Linked DNA regions of Mus musculus: all the other regions are reported to be linked to region 1. Evidence: microRNA targets listed by miRTarBase, many of them from high-throughput screens and not tested one by one. Region 1 holds a microRNA gene; each other region holds the end of a gene's coding sequence.

The links. The annotated mature microRNA mmu-miR-301a-3p reads CAGUGCAAUAGUAUUGUCAAAGC and lies in region 1 at 2,212-2,234, opposite strand. An mRNA with a match to its seed (bases 2 to 7 or 8) in the 3' UTR can be bound and repressed. Matches are read on the target gene's strand: a 7mer-m8 pairs with bases 2 to 8, a 7mer-A1 pairs with bases 2 to 7 and ends in A, and an 8mer does both.
Region 2: the mRNA of Acbd5 is a reported target of mmu-miR-301a-3p. Seed matches in the 3' UTR shown: 8mer at 2,634-2,641.
Region 3: miRTarBase lists Rhod as a target of mmu-miR-301a-3p. Seed matches in the 3' UTR shown: 7mer-A1 at 1,710-1,716.
Region 4: miRTarBase lists Socs5 as a target of mmu-miR-301a-3p. Seed matches in the 3' UTR shown: 8mer at 1,669-1,676.
Region 5: miRTarBase lists Nfia as a target of mmu-miR-301a-3p. The part of its 3' UTR that is shown has no 7-base or 8-base seed match.

What each region holds. Positions count from the first base shown.
Region 1 is chr11:87,112,288-87,115,287 of GRCm38, reverse strand. It overlaps Mir301 (microRNA 301), which reads right to left and starts at 2,284; the gene lies at 2,199-2,284. All of the region lies in intron 1 of Ska2 (spindle and kinetochore associated complex subunit 2), which reads right to left.
Region 2 is chr2:23,112,231-23,115,306 of GRCm38, reverse strand. It overlaps Acbd5 (acyl-Coenzyme A binding domain containing 5), which reads right to left. Exons shown (of 14, transcript NM_001355637.1): 14 at 794-2,802. The coding sequence ends at 2,790. Among named protein-coding and RNA genes, the nearest start is that of Mastl, 42 kb to the left of the region's middle.
Region 3 is chr19:4,423,334-4,426,409 of GRCm38, forward strand. It overlaps Rhod (ras homolog family member D), which reads right to left. Exons shown (of 5, transcript NM_007485.5): 5 at 139-2,923. The coding sequence ends at 2,756. Among named protein-coding and RNA genes, the nearest start is that of A930001C03Rik, 14 kb to the right of the region's middle.
Region 4 is chr17:87,134,709-87,137,784 of GRCm38, forward strand. Socs5 (suppressor of cytokine signaling 5) reads left to right here. Exons shown (of 3, transcript NM_019654.2): 3 at 1-2,877. The coding sequence ends at 536. Among named protein-coding and RNA genes, the nearest start is that of Socs5, 29 kb to the left of the region's middle.
Region 5 is chr4:98,111,021-98,114,096 of GRCm38, forward strand. Nfia (nuclear factor I/A) reads left to right here. Exons shown (of 11, transcript NM_010905.3): 11 at 198-3,076. The coding sequence ends at 215. Among named protein-coding and RNA genes, the nearest start is that of Gm34784, 14 kb to the right of the region's middle.

The DNA of each region.
Region 1 (3,000 bases):
AGGGGCATGTGCACCACCACACACATGCATTAGCTGTTTTATACAGGGCTGTGTTAAATCGTGTTAAGCTTTCATTTGGGGGTTGGAGAGAGAATTCAGTGGTTAAGAGAGCTCTTAGTCTTGCAGAGCATCTAGGTTTGTTCCATTCTCAGCATCCACATGATTGCTCAAAACCAACTCTGAGTTTCAGAAGATCCAGTACCCTCTTCTGGCTTCCACAAGCTCCTGCACACATGTGAAGGACAGTCTCAAGCAAGCACACACATACACATAAAGATATTAAATACTTTACCAAAAATTTTTCTTTTAAATTTGTTTGTTTGTGTGTCTATGTTTGCCTTGCCATGTGTGTAAAGGAACCCACAGAGGCCACAAGAGAGTGTACAATCCTCTCAAGTTGGAATCACAAACTAAACTGCCCAACCTGGGTGCTGAGCCGAGAAGCAAACTCCAGTCCTCTGGAAAACAAGAAGGTCTTTGACCCCAGAGCCATCACTCCAGCCCCCAAACCACAAATCTCCAAGAAAAAAAAATTAGTGACATTAGATTGAGAAAAAAAAATGTGCGCATGTGTCTGCAGTTTGTGTATGCACGTATGTACGTATACCATGTACCATGCATGGACAGGAAGACTTTAAGACATTAAAAAACATATATCAGTTGCAAATAAGCACATGAAAAATATTCAATATCACTAAGAGGACTATGGAAAAGATTTTATCAAACTGTTTTTGCCTTTTGTGTGTTGGTGTGATTTTTCAAGCCATGCGTTCCTGAAACTCACTCTGCAGACTAGGTCTCAAACTCAGAGATTCACCACCACCCCCGGCCCACCTCCCAAGTGATGGGATTAAAGGCTATGCCGCCACCCAGTTGATTTTAGCAACTTCTCCTAATAGTCCCATTTCCCAGTATTTACACAAAAGAAATAAGAAATTATGGCCACGTAAAGACAATGCTTCCAACAAATTTATTCATAACAGGCAAAGCCTGGAAACAACCCAAGAAACACTTTGTCAGACTTTATACAATGGAATATACTCAACAATAAAAATGAATCAATTATCAACACATGCAACAAAGGCAAGATGGCAAAAGCACTTACAGTAAGTACAAGAATGCAAAACTAAAAGAACAAATACTGTGCTGGCCCAGTCAGAGTTCACAAAAGCACTGTTTGGAAGGAGACTGCAGACAGACACAGAGACTTTTGAAATGAAATGTAATGAAAATGTTTTATTATCTTAGTAGTGGAGGGAGTTACATTATGTATACATTTGCCAAAACTCATCAGTGTACACTTACATTTTTAGTTTTACTTACATAAAATGTGCATTAAACTTATTACCAAAAAGTGATGACTTCTGTATGGACAAAAGGATATACTGTGTGACACAATGTGACATACTCCAGCTTCTATGACAAGATTTTTTAATTCTATCTTTATTTTGTTTTGAGGAGGAAGTTGCAAGGGCAGAAAGCCGATACTAAGGGATGGGAAAATGAGTGGAATTGGAGGGCTGGGGTGCATGATGTGAAATTCACAGCCAATAAAAGTTTTTTTTAAAGTGATTTATATTTTATAGTTACAATAATCAAGCCTTTCTAAGTTTTAAGGATTTTATTATTCTGTGTTTGTATCAGTGTGTGTGTTTGTATTTGTGTGCCTGCAGAGACCAGAAGACAGCACGAAACTGCCTGGAGCTAGAGTTACAAGTGGCTGAGAGTGGCTACTAGATGTGGGTGCCGGGAAGGAAACTCAGGTCCTCTGTAGTGTTAACTGCTGGACCATCTCTCTAGTCCCCTCCCAAAGTGTTAAATTTAAGCATTTCTAATATAATACTAAAATGGACACTAAGATGTAAACCATTACCATAGTAAATAGACATGAGAGACTATCACTTACCAACTCATATAATAAGACCGAAGAGTTCCCAGAACCTATTCAAGTCTATTACAAAAAGAAGCAAATTACAAAGTACTATTCAGTTAGACAGGCCATTACTTCACAGCGTACAGTAATGAATTTTCAGTGCCATACAGAAATGATAAATGTTAATTTAATGATATTTTTTCAAATGATGACTTTCTAAAAAATATACATAGTAACAAAATTATACAGTTTTCCACACTGAAAGTTATAGAAACCTTTTCACAAATACTGAAGATGTAAGACAAGAACCAGGAAAGGTGTGCAACCTGCTCGCGGATGCTTTGACAATACTATTGCACTGCTCGCTGTAAAGTACAGTAGTGCAATAAAGTCAGAGCAGCCGTTAGCAGGAGTGAGCAGGAAAGGAATGCAAGGCTCAGTGTGCAAAGACCTTAAAGTTGAGTTGCCATTTTAGTCAGAAGACATCCAAAACCTAAAAACATTTATACCAGTATATTTTTGGAAGGGCAAAGGACCAAAGTGATAATTGGTTTTTGTTGACTAACCTGAAATTAGCAGCATTCAGACATAAACATGCACAGATGTAAAGGAATTTTGTAATATGTCCTGAGCCTTTAGTAGCTAACATGGGCATCATAAAAACTTTATAATTGATATTAACAAAATCAGCTGTAATTACTACTAAGGCAAATATGTGAAAAACTATGTTTTTTGCCTAAATGTAATGTTGGTTAACTCCTTTTCCAAAGCGTCTGGGTTACCTACCATAGAAAACAAGTCCTTTGAGTAATTACTTCAAAAAACAAATGAAAAGGATTCAGTGGTTAAGAGTATTTGTTCTTGGGTCCGAGTCCTAGCACACACTTGGTGGCTCAAAATCATCCATGAAGAGTTCCACAGGATCCAATGCCCTCTTCTGACTTCCTCAGGCACCAGGCACAAATGTGGTGCCGTCACAAACATGCAGGCAAAACACTCATATTCATAAAATAAATCTCAATAGAAAAAGAGAAATATACCTCTCTCAAACCTATATACCCAGTTGATCTCTATAGAATTTACTCACATGCACACATGTGCACACACACAAACACACTTAGGCAGCA
Region 2 (3,076 bases), not on the chromosome of region 1:
CTACAGCCAGATTTTATGGAGGCACTTCCTCATTTGAGGTTCCCTCCTTTCAGGTAACTCTAGCCTGTCAACTTGAGATCAAAATAACCAACTTGAATAGGAAATTAGTTTGCTATCACATTTCCAGCTCATCACCTAATATTCTGCCACCAGATAAAGCACTGTTGTGTAATGGTATTTACTGGGAATAAATAATGTATCATCTAAATTTACACCTGCCAAAAAAACTTAAGAAGAACAATGAGATTTCCCCACAGAAATCAACTCGTCTAAAGAAATAAGAATGCCACCCCCAACACGCCTCTTTCACATAAACATTGTTTGGGCTGAAGGCCATTTGAAATAGCACACACTAGGAAATCATCTCTATCCTTTTGTATATGGGGAGGTATGAATTCTCCTTCACTGAAGACTGCTCTAGTATGAGCCAAGAGACAGCACTTTATTCTATACCTTTCACATTCTCAGCTTCACATCTGTTGAAACTTAAAATGATTCTCTTTTGTCCTTCGTAGGCTGAGGCAAGAGGATTGCTTCAAGTCTAAAGCTAGTCTAAGCTACAGTAAAACCCTCTCTCTCTTGGTTTTCTGTTGTTTGTTCAAGTTATATATAATAATATGCCTTTATTTAGTCTCATGACCTTATCCTTTTGCATGTTACCCGGAATGGAACCTGTGGAATCCTGTGCTTGGGATTTCGGACAGTTGTATCTCCTGCCTGCCATTTAAGATTACTGTATATGAACCACTGTTGCTTCTTGCTTTAGCTTTGTACACAGTCAATACAGTTAGCATTTCATTTCTCATTAACCTTTTATTTTTTAACTTAGTTTTACAATAAACAGAAAAGCTGATCATTAAAAAAATACCATAGCTGTCGATTTCTAAAATGAGGTTCATGTTTTAATGCATTACCACTATATCCTGTAATTACATCCTTTATATACAGGAAATGTGTGCAAAGTGCTTTCAAACTATAAAGTAATTCTGATATATAAGATACAAATGGTTGCCCTTAGGAGTTAGTTACACTTGACTACTTGCAATCAATCACACTGGTTATATCTTTGATTTGCATTCTATTTATATAAGAAAAAAGCCATCACTTTATCATACCAACCTCTTTTGTAATTTAAAACAAAAAAATGTCACAGGTCTAAAGTTTTCTATAATAATTCAGTTATTTGCTTTTTTTTCTTCCTTTTAAAATGTAGAAGATAGATTTGAGGTTTTTTAATCATAAGCAAAAGCCAGTAGATCATTTTAGGCATATCAACCAAGTTGTGATACACAAGTTTAAAATAAAGTTACAGTTTTGAAAAATTTGTAAAGTCTAGGACAAAGAAATTATGTTCTTATACTCTTTTTCCCAAAGAACAACCCTATATTCTGAAGATGGATTCTTTTCTTCTTACTCAAAATATTCAACACGTAATGCTAACGCCCCCAACATCATACAAATCAAGAACAAATTAAAATGTTTTACTCTCTAAAGCTGGCCATGGTGGTACAGGCCTGTGGTCCCAGAAGCTGAAAAGAAGTAGAGACAGGAAACTCAGGTAGTCAAGGTCATCTTCAGCTACATAGAGAATTGGAGGCTGGTAGGAGCTACCAAAACTCTGTCTCAAAAGGAAAAGCAAAAAAGGATTTTCTATGAAGTTTTTAAATTAAATCTTCAAAGAATAAAGTATATTACTGAGCGCAGGTTTGAGAAAGTACACAGGAAGATTATTTTTCAAATACAGTGTTCCGGGATCTAAATTGATCTTCTCTCTGTTTTAATGGCTAGAAGGAACTTAAGTTTCCATTAGTTAGGCATTCCTTAGTTATGTGGACATAGAGACCTGTAGACTGAAAGTACTTCTGATACCTTGTGAAGTATACCCCAAAGGAAAACTGAGGCACTAAGAAGTTAAGAGTCCAGACTGTCGTTTACACTTGCAAAAAAAAGGATTATCATGCTTTTGTTACCTTAGTAAAAACAGTATAAATACGTTTTCATTTTATTGCAAAGCACCCTATGAAGCAGACAGTAGATATCCTCACTTAAAAGAAAAATGATTACAAAGGATTATGTGTGTATGATTGAATTAAAATCTGATTAGCCGTGTCTAGAGTTTGAATACACTTTTACACCTACATTAGGCCTGTTTTTCATCATTTCCATCATCAAGTTAAGTCTGTTCAGTGAATCGTTTGTAAACAGAAGCGCAGTACAAGGACGATGATTTTCTGAGTTCCCTTGAGCAAGCCGGGGAATCAAGCCACTAACTAAAGCCCAGTCTCCTGGAGAGGATTCTTCCGTCCGGTTCCTGCCACGTAGCTGACAGTTCAGTGACTGATGCAAAATCGATTTAACCTCATTTTTAAAAAATCACTTTTGTTTTTGCATTCTTTCTTGTGTTTAATTTAGAAAAGTAAAAAGTATAAATTTTATCTCATAATTGGAGCTATGCCTTAGAAATGCAGCTTATAATTCTTATGGGAAAAATTAGGTGATCATTACTGAACAATAATTAATAATTTAGTCCTTCAAGCTCAAAAAGAGTAAGTCTATGGATGCTACTTAAAATCTAGTTGAGATTGATTTTTCAAGTATCAGCAATATTAGTCTTTAAAATGTTACCATTTGTGTAGTGCAAAGAATATTTATGTATATAAACCAAACTACTGGACAAAAAAGCAACGTAATCATCAAAACTGAGATTTTCTTCTGAATTCCACTTCATTTCCAGTCCGTCTCTTAGGTCGTCCAGGCCCAGCAGTCTTCTTGAGTAAAAAGCCATTTCTTCAATTTAGTTTTCTTTAAAAAGAAAGTAAAAACCAATTTCCTGTAAGTATAAATATAACCTGAATATGAAGCACATTCATACCAAAGAATTGCATGGACAAAACACAGCATTCAAATTTATAATAACACTGTAAAACTACAAATCATTTAAGGTTACTTCATTGTGACTTAACTTGGGGGGGGAGATGCAGGTAGTCGGATTATCAAATGTATTTATTCATAAATAACTGCATACTAGCAAAATCAAAAGAAGGGAAACACACCAACAACATAAACAACCAACAAC
Region 3 (3,076 bases), not on the chromosome of region 1:
CACAGTGCCTCTTTCTTCTTGCTTCAGCCTCCCAAGTGCTTGTGACCACGAGCATGACATCATGCCTGTAGAATTCAGTAATAATACGAAAATAACATTCAAGCCGGTGAGATGGCTTCTCAAAGAAAGGCACTTGCCTTACAAGTCTGATGATCCGAGTTTGGTCTCTAAAATGCACATAAAAGTAGGAGAAAACTGATTCCACAAAATTGACCCCCAACTTCCACAGCTTTGTCATGGCAACATGCGCCCACATACACACAATGTTAACAATTAACTTGATAAAAAGCATATACAGAATAAAACAAAACAAAACAAAACAAAACAGGTGTAGTGTAGAAAGTTGGCTCAGTGATTAAGAGCACTGGCTGCTTTTCCAGAGGACCTGGGTTCATTCCCAACACTCACACGGCAGCTCACAACCGTCTGTAACTTCAGTCTCAGGGGATCTGACAGTCTTCATGCACATGGTACACAGACATGCACGCAGGCAAAACACTCATACACATAAAAATAATTAAAATTAAAAGCCAGGTAAGCTATAGAGTGAATTTCAGAGCAGCCAGGGCTACACAAAGAAACCCTGTTTCAAACAAAAACAAAAATTTTAAATTAAAAAAATAAAAGCAAAATTCATTTCTATTAAAAAAAATAGATGTGATTATGTTTAAATTGTTAGACTTTGGAGGCCAGTGCCTTCAGTAGATGAAGACACTTGCCACCAAGCCTGACAGCCTGAGTTTGATCTCTGGGACTCACATAGTGAAAGGAGAAAACTGACTCTTGAGGATTTTCCACTAACTTCTACATGTGTGTCATGGCATGTCCCACAGCCCTCACAAATAAACATGTGAGAAAAGAATTTTAAATTGATAGTCTTTGAATAAAGCAGGTGGCACTCAGTATGTGTGGGCCTCTTGTCTTCCTGAAGAATTCTGCCTCAAGTTTAGCAGTCCAAAAACCCTGAGTTTCCAGCCCACAGCCCTGCAAATTCAAATGCTGGATGTCAACACCAACTCATTTGCATTACAAGTATCAGCCTGCCAGACCCCACAACCACACGGGTATGAGCATATGAGCAGGTTCCTTAATGAAACCGTGTGTGTGTGTGTGTGTGTGTGTGTGTGTGTGTGTGTGTACCCCACATTGCACATGTAGAGGTCAGAAGACAACTTTCAGGAATCAGTTTTTTTCACCTTGTTGAGGCAGGTCTCTCTTGTTTCTGTAGTTTCCATATGTGGGGTGTGTGTATCAAGGCTTTTGAGCTTCCAAGAGATTAGAAGAGTTTCTTGTCTCTGACACCTTTTTTTTTTTTTTTTTTTTTTTTTTTGAGACAGGGTTTCTCTATCCCTGGCTGTCCTGGAATTCACTCTGTAGACTGAGCTGGCCTCGAACTCAGAAATCTGCCTGCCTCTGCCTCCTAAGTACTGGGATTAAAGGTGTGCACCACCAACACTGGCTTGATTTTATGGTGTGTATGTTTGCCTGGTTTTGTTTTTGGGTTTTTTTTTTTGTGCCTGGTGCCTATGGAGGCCAGAAGAGGGCATTGAGTCCCACAGAACAGAAACTACAGGTGACTGTGCGCTATCCTATGTGTGCTGGGAACCAAACCTAGATCGTTTAGAAGACAAGCCAGTGGCACGCGCACACGCACACACACACACACACACACACACACACACACACACACGTGTGAGGACTCACGGAGATAGTGCACTAATGCTTTTGATCACTAGCCTCTAGCTTAAAAAAAAGTGAAGTTACACTTCAGTTCTACTGTGTATGTGTTGGGTGGGTTTATACCAAGGTATACATGGAAGTCAGAGGTCAAATGTGGGAGTCAGTTTTCTCCTACCATATGGGTCCCAAGGAACTCAAGCCGTCGTGGCAAGAACCCCTGTCTGCTGAGCCACCTCACCAACCTCGCATCTTGCTTTTTATATGGGTTCTGGGAATTGAGTTTAGGTTGTTTGGTTTATGTGGTGGCACCTGGAAAGCATTACTGCACTATCTCCGTGTGTGTGTGCCTGACACTGTGCTGTTTCTGGAGAAGTCTACTAACATGGTAGACAAATGAGAGTGTGTACCTTTCATGCAAGGCACTTGCTAAGCTCTTTGAATGTGTTAGTCCTCATGACTTTTATTCATGCTTGATGTAATTTCTGATTGGCCATTTTACAGATGAAAGGCTGAGGCCTAGAACTTCCTCAAGGTCTTAAAGTGATAAAGTCAGGTTTGGTCCTAGCAGTTCCACCCTAGGGTCTAGGTGGATGGGCTCTTTCCTACCTAGTAGTATGTAAAGATGCTTTGAAGGAAGAGTCAGGACACTAATAGCAAGTGCTGCCATTTTAGTTGTTACACTTAGCAATGGGATAAATAGGATGATCACGGACGGGGCAGGGTATTAGCCCGGGCAAGATGGTCTTGGGAACCCTAGGTCCTGTAGATATAACTCAATAGAATAGCCACAAGGTGGCGCCAAACAGACCGCACAGACCCCGCTCAGGACGCAGGTCCAGGATTGGGCACAGGAGTCTATAATGGTTCCAGAGCTAAGGGTCTGGGAACCCTCTTCCTCAATCCAGGATTCCTCGGTCCAGGGGCCAGGCCTCATTGGAGCCCATCTGTGGATGGATGTGTGGTTCTACCAGCTCAGCCTAGGGATTAGGTCCATCCCAGTCAACAGAGTACAAGTTCTGCTTCTGGGTCTTTCTGCAGCGGAGTAAACCGGAAGGCAAGGTGGGTTCCAAGCCAGTCAGGTGGCCAAGCAACAATTCTGAGTAATCCGCCGCCAAAAGTTATGTCTGCGACTGCTGAGAGCCACTTCTGCTGCTTCCTGGAAGACGGCTTCCACGTTGTCATGGAGCCGAGCTGAACACTCAAGATAGGCCACCGCTCCCACAGACCTTGCCATATCGTGGCCCTGCCAAAGAGCAGTAGGAGCTACTATGAGTTTGGGATGCGGGGTGAAACTCACATTTGGTCTTGCTGCAGCCCTTTTGGCAATGTCAGTAGTCTTGAGGACAATAGTGGGAAGTGGGGTTTTTCCAGGGCACCTTCAGTGGGCAACTAATCT
Region 4 (3,076 bases), not on the chromosome of region 1:
TTCATACGCAGATCGATTACATACACTGCCTCGTGCCAGATTTGCTTCAGATCACAGGGAATCCCTGTTACTGGGGCGTGATGGACCGATACGAGGCCGAAGCCCTTCTAGAAGGGAAACCGGAAGGCACGTTCTTGCTCAGGGACTCTGCACAGGAGGACTACCTCTTCTCTGTGAGCTTCCGCCGCTACAACAGGTCTCTGCACGCCCGGATCGAGCAGTGGAACCACAACTTCAGCTTCGATGCCCATGACCCCTGCGTGTTTCACTCCTCCACTGTCACGGGGCTTCTCGAACACTATAAAGACCCCAGCTCTTGCATGTTTTTTGAACCGTTGCTAACGATATCACTGAATAGAACTTTCCCTTTCAGCCTGCAGTATATCTGCCGCGCAGTGATCTGCAGATGCACTACGTATGATGGGATTGACGGGCTCCCGCTACCGTCGATGTTACAGGATTTTTTAAAAGAGTATCATTATAAACAAAAAGTTAGGGTTCGCTGGTTAGAACGAGAACCAGTCAAAGCAAAGTAACTCCTGTCCCCAAAGGGCACTAACTAAGTCTGCTCCTCCCGTGCATCAGACTGCACCCATAGGAGGCAGTCAGCTGCTAGGATTTCCCACCCAGAATGGGAGCTTAGTCATTAGCCTCTGCCCTATGGGGTCCGCTGTTCCTCAGACAAAGGTGCCTAGGGACAGCAAGATGGCTTGCAGGTGTTCGGTGGGCTGTGACAACTGAGGGAGGCAACTCTGGGGCATTTGCTATGAAGAATTCTATTTCTTACTGAAGAACAAATTATTAATATTGGATGGGTATTTCAATAGTGTGACTAATGTTTGAAATTATTTTTTCTAAGAATTTTTCTATAACCTTCAGAAAAAGTAGTGATGTTTGTAGTTACTATAAATCAAGCTTTGAAAGTTCAAAACAAACAAGTAAATAAAAGACTACCTTCCTTTTAGAGAAAACAAATGCAAGTTTTCCAGCCACAGGGCATTGTGCACTGTTAATGTGGCTTGTAGTCAGCCTCCTTTTCTCCTCAGAGAAGGAGGCTCTAAAGTAAACCAGGTTTTCCTAGATAGTTTTCTTAACCCTGAGACTCCCAGCTCAGTGGTGGAGTTGGGTAAAAGCCCCAGTGTGCATTTCGGATGAGCACGGTGACCTGAGAGCATGCAGTTGGAGTTTCCAGTGGGGTGTTTTTCTCCAAGTTGACATGTGCAGTCAGTCCTCACATTGTCTCATCAAAGTTGGAACCCTTTCCTGTGCCCTTGACTATGTGAGCCCAGAGGACAGCGAGACTAGGAGATGCCCAGACACATCAGATAGTAGTAACTCCACTGGTTGACGATGCCAAGTTGTGTTAAACTATAATTAATCGTTTGGATGACAGTATTTATCTCTTTGTTGTAAGCTCATAGCCGAATTGCTTAAGTACAATTTATATTATACAGTTTTAGTGCAGTTAATTCTTAACAGAAAACCTGAAGTCTAAATTGCAGATTTAAAAGGTACTGTACACCCATGCTGCCTGTAAATAACTTTACTTGGCACCTTTTGTCACTTAGGATAGGACGTAATACAACTTGAGTGAATGCTTGGGACGTGTTGTCGAGTTCTAGTGTTGCTTCTCGTGTTGGACTGTGTTCCCGGTTCTGTCCTAGCCATTTGCACTACAGTAGCCAAATCCATTCCTGTGTGTTGCCGTGCTCTGTAACTGCTGCCGGGTGCTCCTCGGCCCTCATGCCAGCTGCTGCAGGAGGTTGCTTTCTGTCCCATGGCTATTGCCAGGGCTTCCTGAAAGAAATGCTACATTTGTATGCAACAGTAACCCTTTAACTGCTAAACGTATGTTTCTGCTTGCTGTGCCTTGTTCTGGCTGCTTTTCCGTGCTAATAAAGTATGTTTGGTGTTCTTGTATATCTGCCGTTTTATACATTTGCCACAATTTCTCTTGTACGTGGAATGGTTTGGGGTTTTTAAATAAGCATTGACAACTTATTGTAGTCAATGCAGAGTCACCTACAACCTAATACTGACCTGTCAGAATAAGCTAAATCTAAGTTGAATGTTCTCTAGCTTTTTAACCCTAATCACATTTTGTGAACCAGTGTCTGTAGTCACTGCAAATTAGTGTATAGTTTACAGCAGGACCCAGAGAAGTGAGAAGCTGGTGATTTCTCTGCGCAGTAGGGAGAGGCTGAAACCAGCGGTAACGTTAGCAGATGAGTGTTAGAACATCCAGCCACGCCAGAAACCAGTGACACGGAGTCTGTGTACCAGGACGCCACAGCTCCACTTAGTGGTTTAGGGACCATTTTAATTGAAGATAAATGCCTGAGATGCAGACCTTTAACCAAAGACTTGTTCATGTCAATGCAGAACGGGGATGGAAGGAACTTCGATCTCTCTGTTACTTGTAGTAGATGTCCCTGAGGAACATATACCAAAGTGTCTGAGAACGTCATCCAAACCTACTTTCAAAGCATAATGTGCAATTAAGTTGTTATGACGTAGTTATATTGCATAATTGTTAGGTCTGTTTTCTTGAGCTTACAGTGTACCTGGAAGAGGAACCCCTTGAGGAAAGATAAGTCCATGCTGAGAGCTGGAGGAAGACTATGATCAGGCGATGCTGTGAAGAGAACTTGAAACTCGGAGAGAGCCTTGATGTTTTTATATGCTTGTAGTAAACTGATGTTCTCACTATAGTTTTATAGAAAATATTAATGCTTTTTTGTATTTCAGAACTTTTCCTGTGTAACATGCAAGTTGTTTTAAGTGTAACTATTGAGTTTATGTAAGCATGTGTCCACTGTGCTAAAGGCACTTATGTTTCAGTTTGTGTACAATATAAATATGCAACTTTGGGGTTAATTTTTTTGTTAAAATATTAGTAGCTTACATTTAAAAAAAAAATTCCCCAGCATGGACGTGCAGCGAAGTCTTTTTTTTTCCACTGTGTATTTGCCTGAAGCCCACTGTAGCCTTTTGACTAAATTAGTGTTTTTATGTTTTGGGAGTGGCACATTTTATTCCAAACCAAGGAGTTCTTTAGCGGTTGCCGTGTGCGAGT
Region 5 (3,076 bases), not on the chromosome of region 1:
ACATGAACTCCCAAGGTAAATTCTGATCCCATGGTTAAAAGAGCAACTTTCAAAATAGTTTTACAATATTGAATGCTTTTTGTTTTTGTGCACTGGATCACTGTGGGCCTTGCTCATACTAGCCAAGAGCTACCCACGAGCCACTACACCCAGCACTACACCTGCATTTTAATTAGACTTTTCTTTTTGTCTTCCAGTCCTGGTACCTGGGATAAAAGTTGCAGCATCCCACCATCCTCCAGACAGACCACCTGACCCCTTCTCAACTCTGTAACATGGACGCAACCTCAACCCGGCGCAGTTACAACTTCACTGTCAGTGGAAGGGGAGCGAAACCAACTCGAATCAACTTATACATGGAAACAGCAAACATCGTGGTCAAACAGCAAAGGCCATAACTTTTTGGGATTCTTTTTTTTTTCTTTTTTTCTTTTTTTCTTTTTTTTTTTCTTTTTTAATACTTTAGGGACTGTCGTAATTTCTCATGGTGCTGGAAATGGTTGGGCTGTGTGACATTTGAAGTGTTTCAGTGGTGGCGTGAGCAGTAGGTGAAGTGGTTGGTGAAGGATGAGCCTCGCTCGTGAACTTCCTGTGGTAACACTTGGGAGCCTGGCCTTTTCCCAGTATTTCCTGAATTTGCCCGTGCAGGTGTGTGACCCTCCCTGAGCATCTGGAGACACCTGGAGCATGAAACCTTCTGTAATCGCTGAGATCTGTAACTTACAGGACACTCAAAGGGCAATGGTTTTTTTTGGGGGGGGGGTTGTTTTTTTGGTTTTTTTTTTTCTGTAACATATTAGGGAAAAAATGCAGTTAAGTTGATCTTTCTTTTAATTTGGTTTGGTTCAGCAGTCAGCAGTTACATACATAACACAACCCGCAAGGACAGTGAATCCGCTCCTGTTGCAGAGCAATTTCCAAAAAGACGGCAAAGACTACTACTATCAGTTTGGTTGGGTTTTTGTTTTTTTGTTTTTTTTTTTTTTGTTTTTTTTTGTTTTTTTTGTTCTTAAGTTTTGAAATGCTGCACTTACATTTAAAAAAAAACATTTTTCAACAATTTCAACAATGACACAAAAATTCACATGGAAATGGGGAAGATGGTCTGTTTTGACAGAAACTGACAGGAATCAAAACAATCGAATTTTGAATTGAGTGAAGTGCAATTTCATTGGATAGCTAAGTATCTTTGTAAGATAGAGATTGTTGAAAATTCTATTTTTGTTTTTCAAGTCCTCCCACCCCAGGACTCTAAATTATTGGGGTAAAAAACAGCCTTGCAAGAAAAAGGGGAGCTATTTTTGCTTTTTATGTTTTTTATTGTTAAACTTGTATCCCTTTAAAAAAAAACCGAAGGAAAATTTAAAAAAACAAAAAAAATACAAAAAAAAAATACAAATCTAATGGTGCTTTTACCACAATATGTTAACTACATTAAATGCTAATTAATTATTTTCTGTTATCAAAGCACATAACTCAAATGAAATCATGGTATCTGTTAATTTTATAAGCTAGAAATCACTATAATGAATTATGCCAATTCTGAAAAATTTTACACATGTATGGCAACACCTGATCTATCGGTTATCCAACGCTTCATTGTACCAGACATTGTCCAGAAGTTTCAAAGACCCTTTGCAAACCCTGAACTGGGCTACGGGAAAATAACACGAATACTGATAAGGACACAACTATGTGTGCCCATTCAGATCAAAGTACTTGTTAGGGAAAAAAAAAAAGTTCACACCCTCCCCGCCCCCCCCCCCCAGATGTCTTGTATCTTATGTTTAAGGGAAAAAAAAGACAAAAAAAAAAAGACAAAAAAAATCAAAAAAGGAAAAAAAAGCAGAAACAAATAAACAAACAAACAAAAAAAATGCAAGTGATTTTTCTACCAGACAGCGAAGCACCCTTGCTTCCCATGCAATGTCACGGTTTCCTATACTATACATATATATGTGTTCTGGTCGGCAAAGCCTGCCGACCAGAGGAAGTCTCTCTGCATGTTCTAGTGTTAGTAACTAATTTTTATATAGCTAATGTAGGATAAAGTAGAGTGCATTAAGACAATATTGTAACCCCACTCTAGGCACTTGCCTTTAAACTGTCTCAGCCCTTCAGAAGGGCTCAACTACTGTCCTATACAATCAAGTGACTGAAATTCCTGGGAAGACACTTTGCTCCTCACCTAACCCCACCCCCATCCCTAAACGATGTTGTTTTGTTTTTATTTTTTTCCTTAATTTGCACGAAAACAGAAATTCCATATCAATGTGCCTTGCCCTGGATAGTGATTATTTGTGGAATTGTTGCACATGCTCCTCAATTGAAGGGGTTTTTTCCCTACTCAAGCATTCGGAGACACTTTCTGTAAATGTTAACCTTTATGTCAGCCATCGTCAGTTTCAACATCTAGACCTAAATAGAAAGTTAGCTGTTCCGCAGACAGGCGTAGTCTTGAGTGTCCTGTGTGGTCAGTGGCAGTGCTATTCTGAGCTCTGTAGATGCTTACAATGTCAGTATTTGGGATGTCGCTGCATTTTTTTTTTCAATTTATTTGGAGTCTCCCTTTATTCCTGCCCCCGCCCCCAGATATATGAAAATATGCAATACCTGCTTATATCATGTAGAAAAGCTTAGCAAGTATTAATTTTTCTTTCTTTCTTTTTTTTTTTTTTTTTTTTTTTTTTTTTGTTTGACCAAAGTCAGTGCTGCACATGACGCAGTGGGTTTTAGGTGTCTCTCTTTGTGTTTTCTGTGGTTTGTGATGCACGTGCGCAGGAAGGGCTCCTCTTAGAGAAGCAGCCAAACTGTGAAGCACTAAGCTGACCCTGCTTCAAGCAATTTTGTTTTTACAACTGTTCCTTTCACAAGCAAGCCTTAAAAAAAGAGAAAAAGAAAAAAAAAAGACAACTTCCTTTCTCTTCAGACCCCCACACCCACTTTTCTTAGCAGACGGCAGTCAATCCACATTCAATAAAAAGTACATAATGCCCATTTTTATATGCACGTTTTTAAACTTCCAAGTTCTGAAAATTGTTTACTGGTTATCTCTATTTAAGGAAAAAAAATAAAA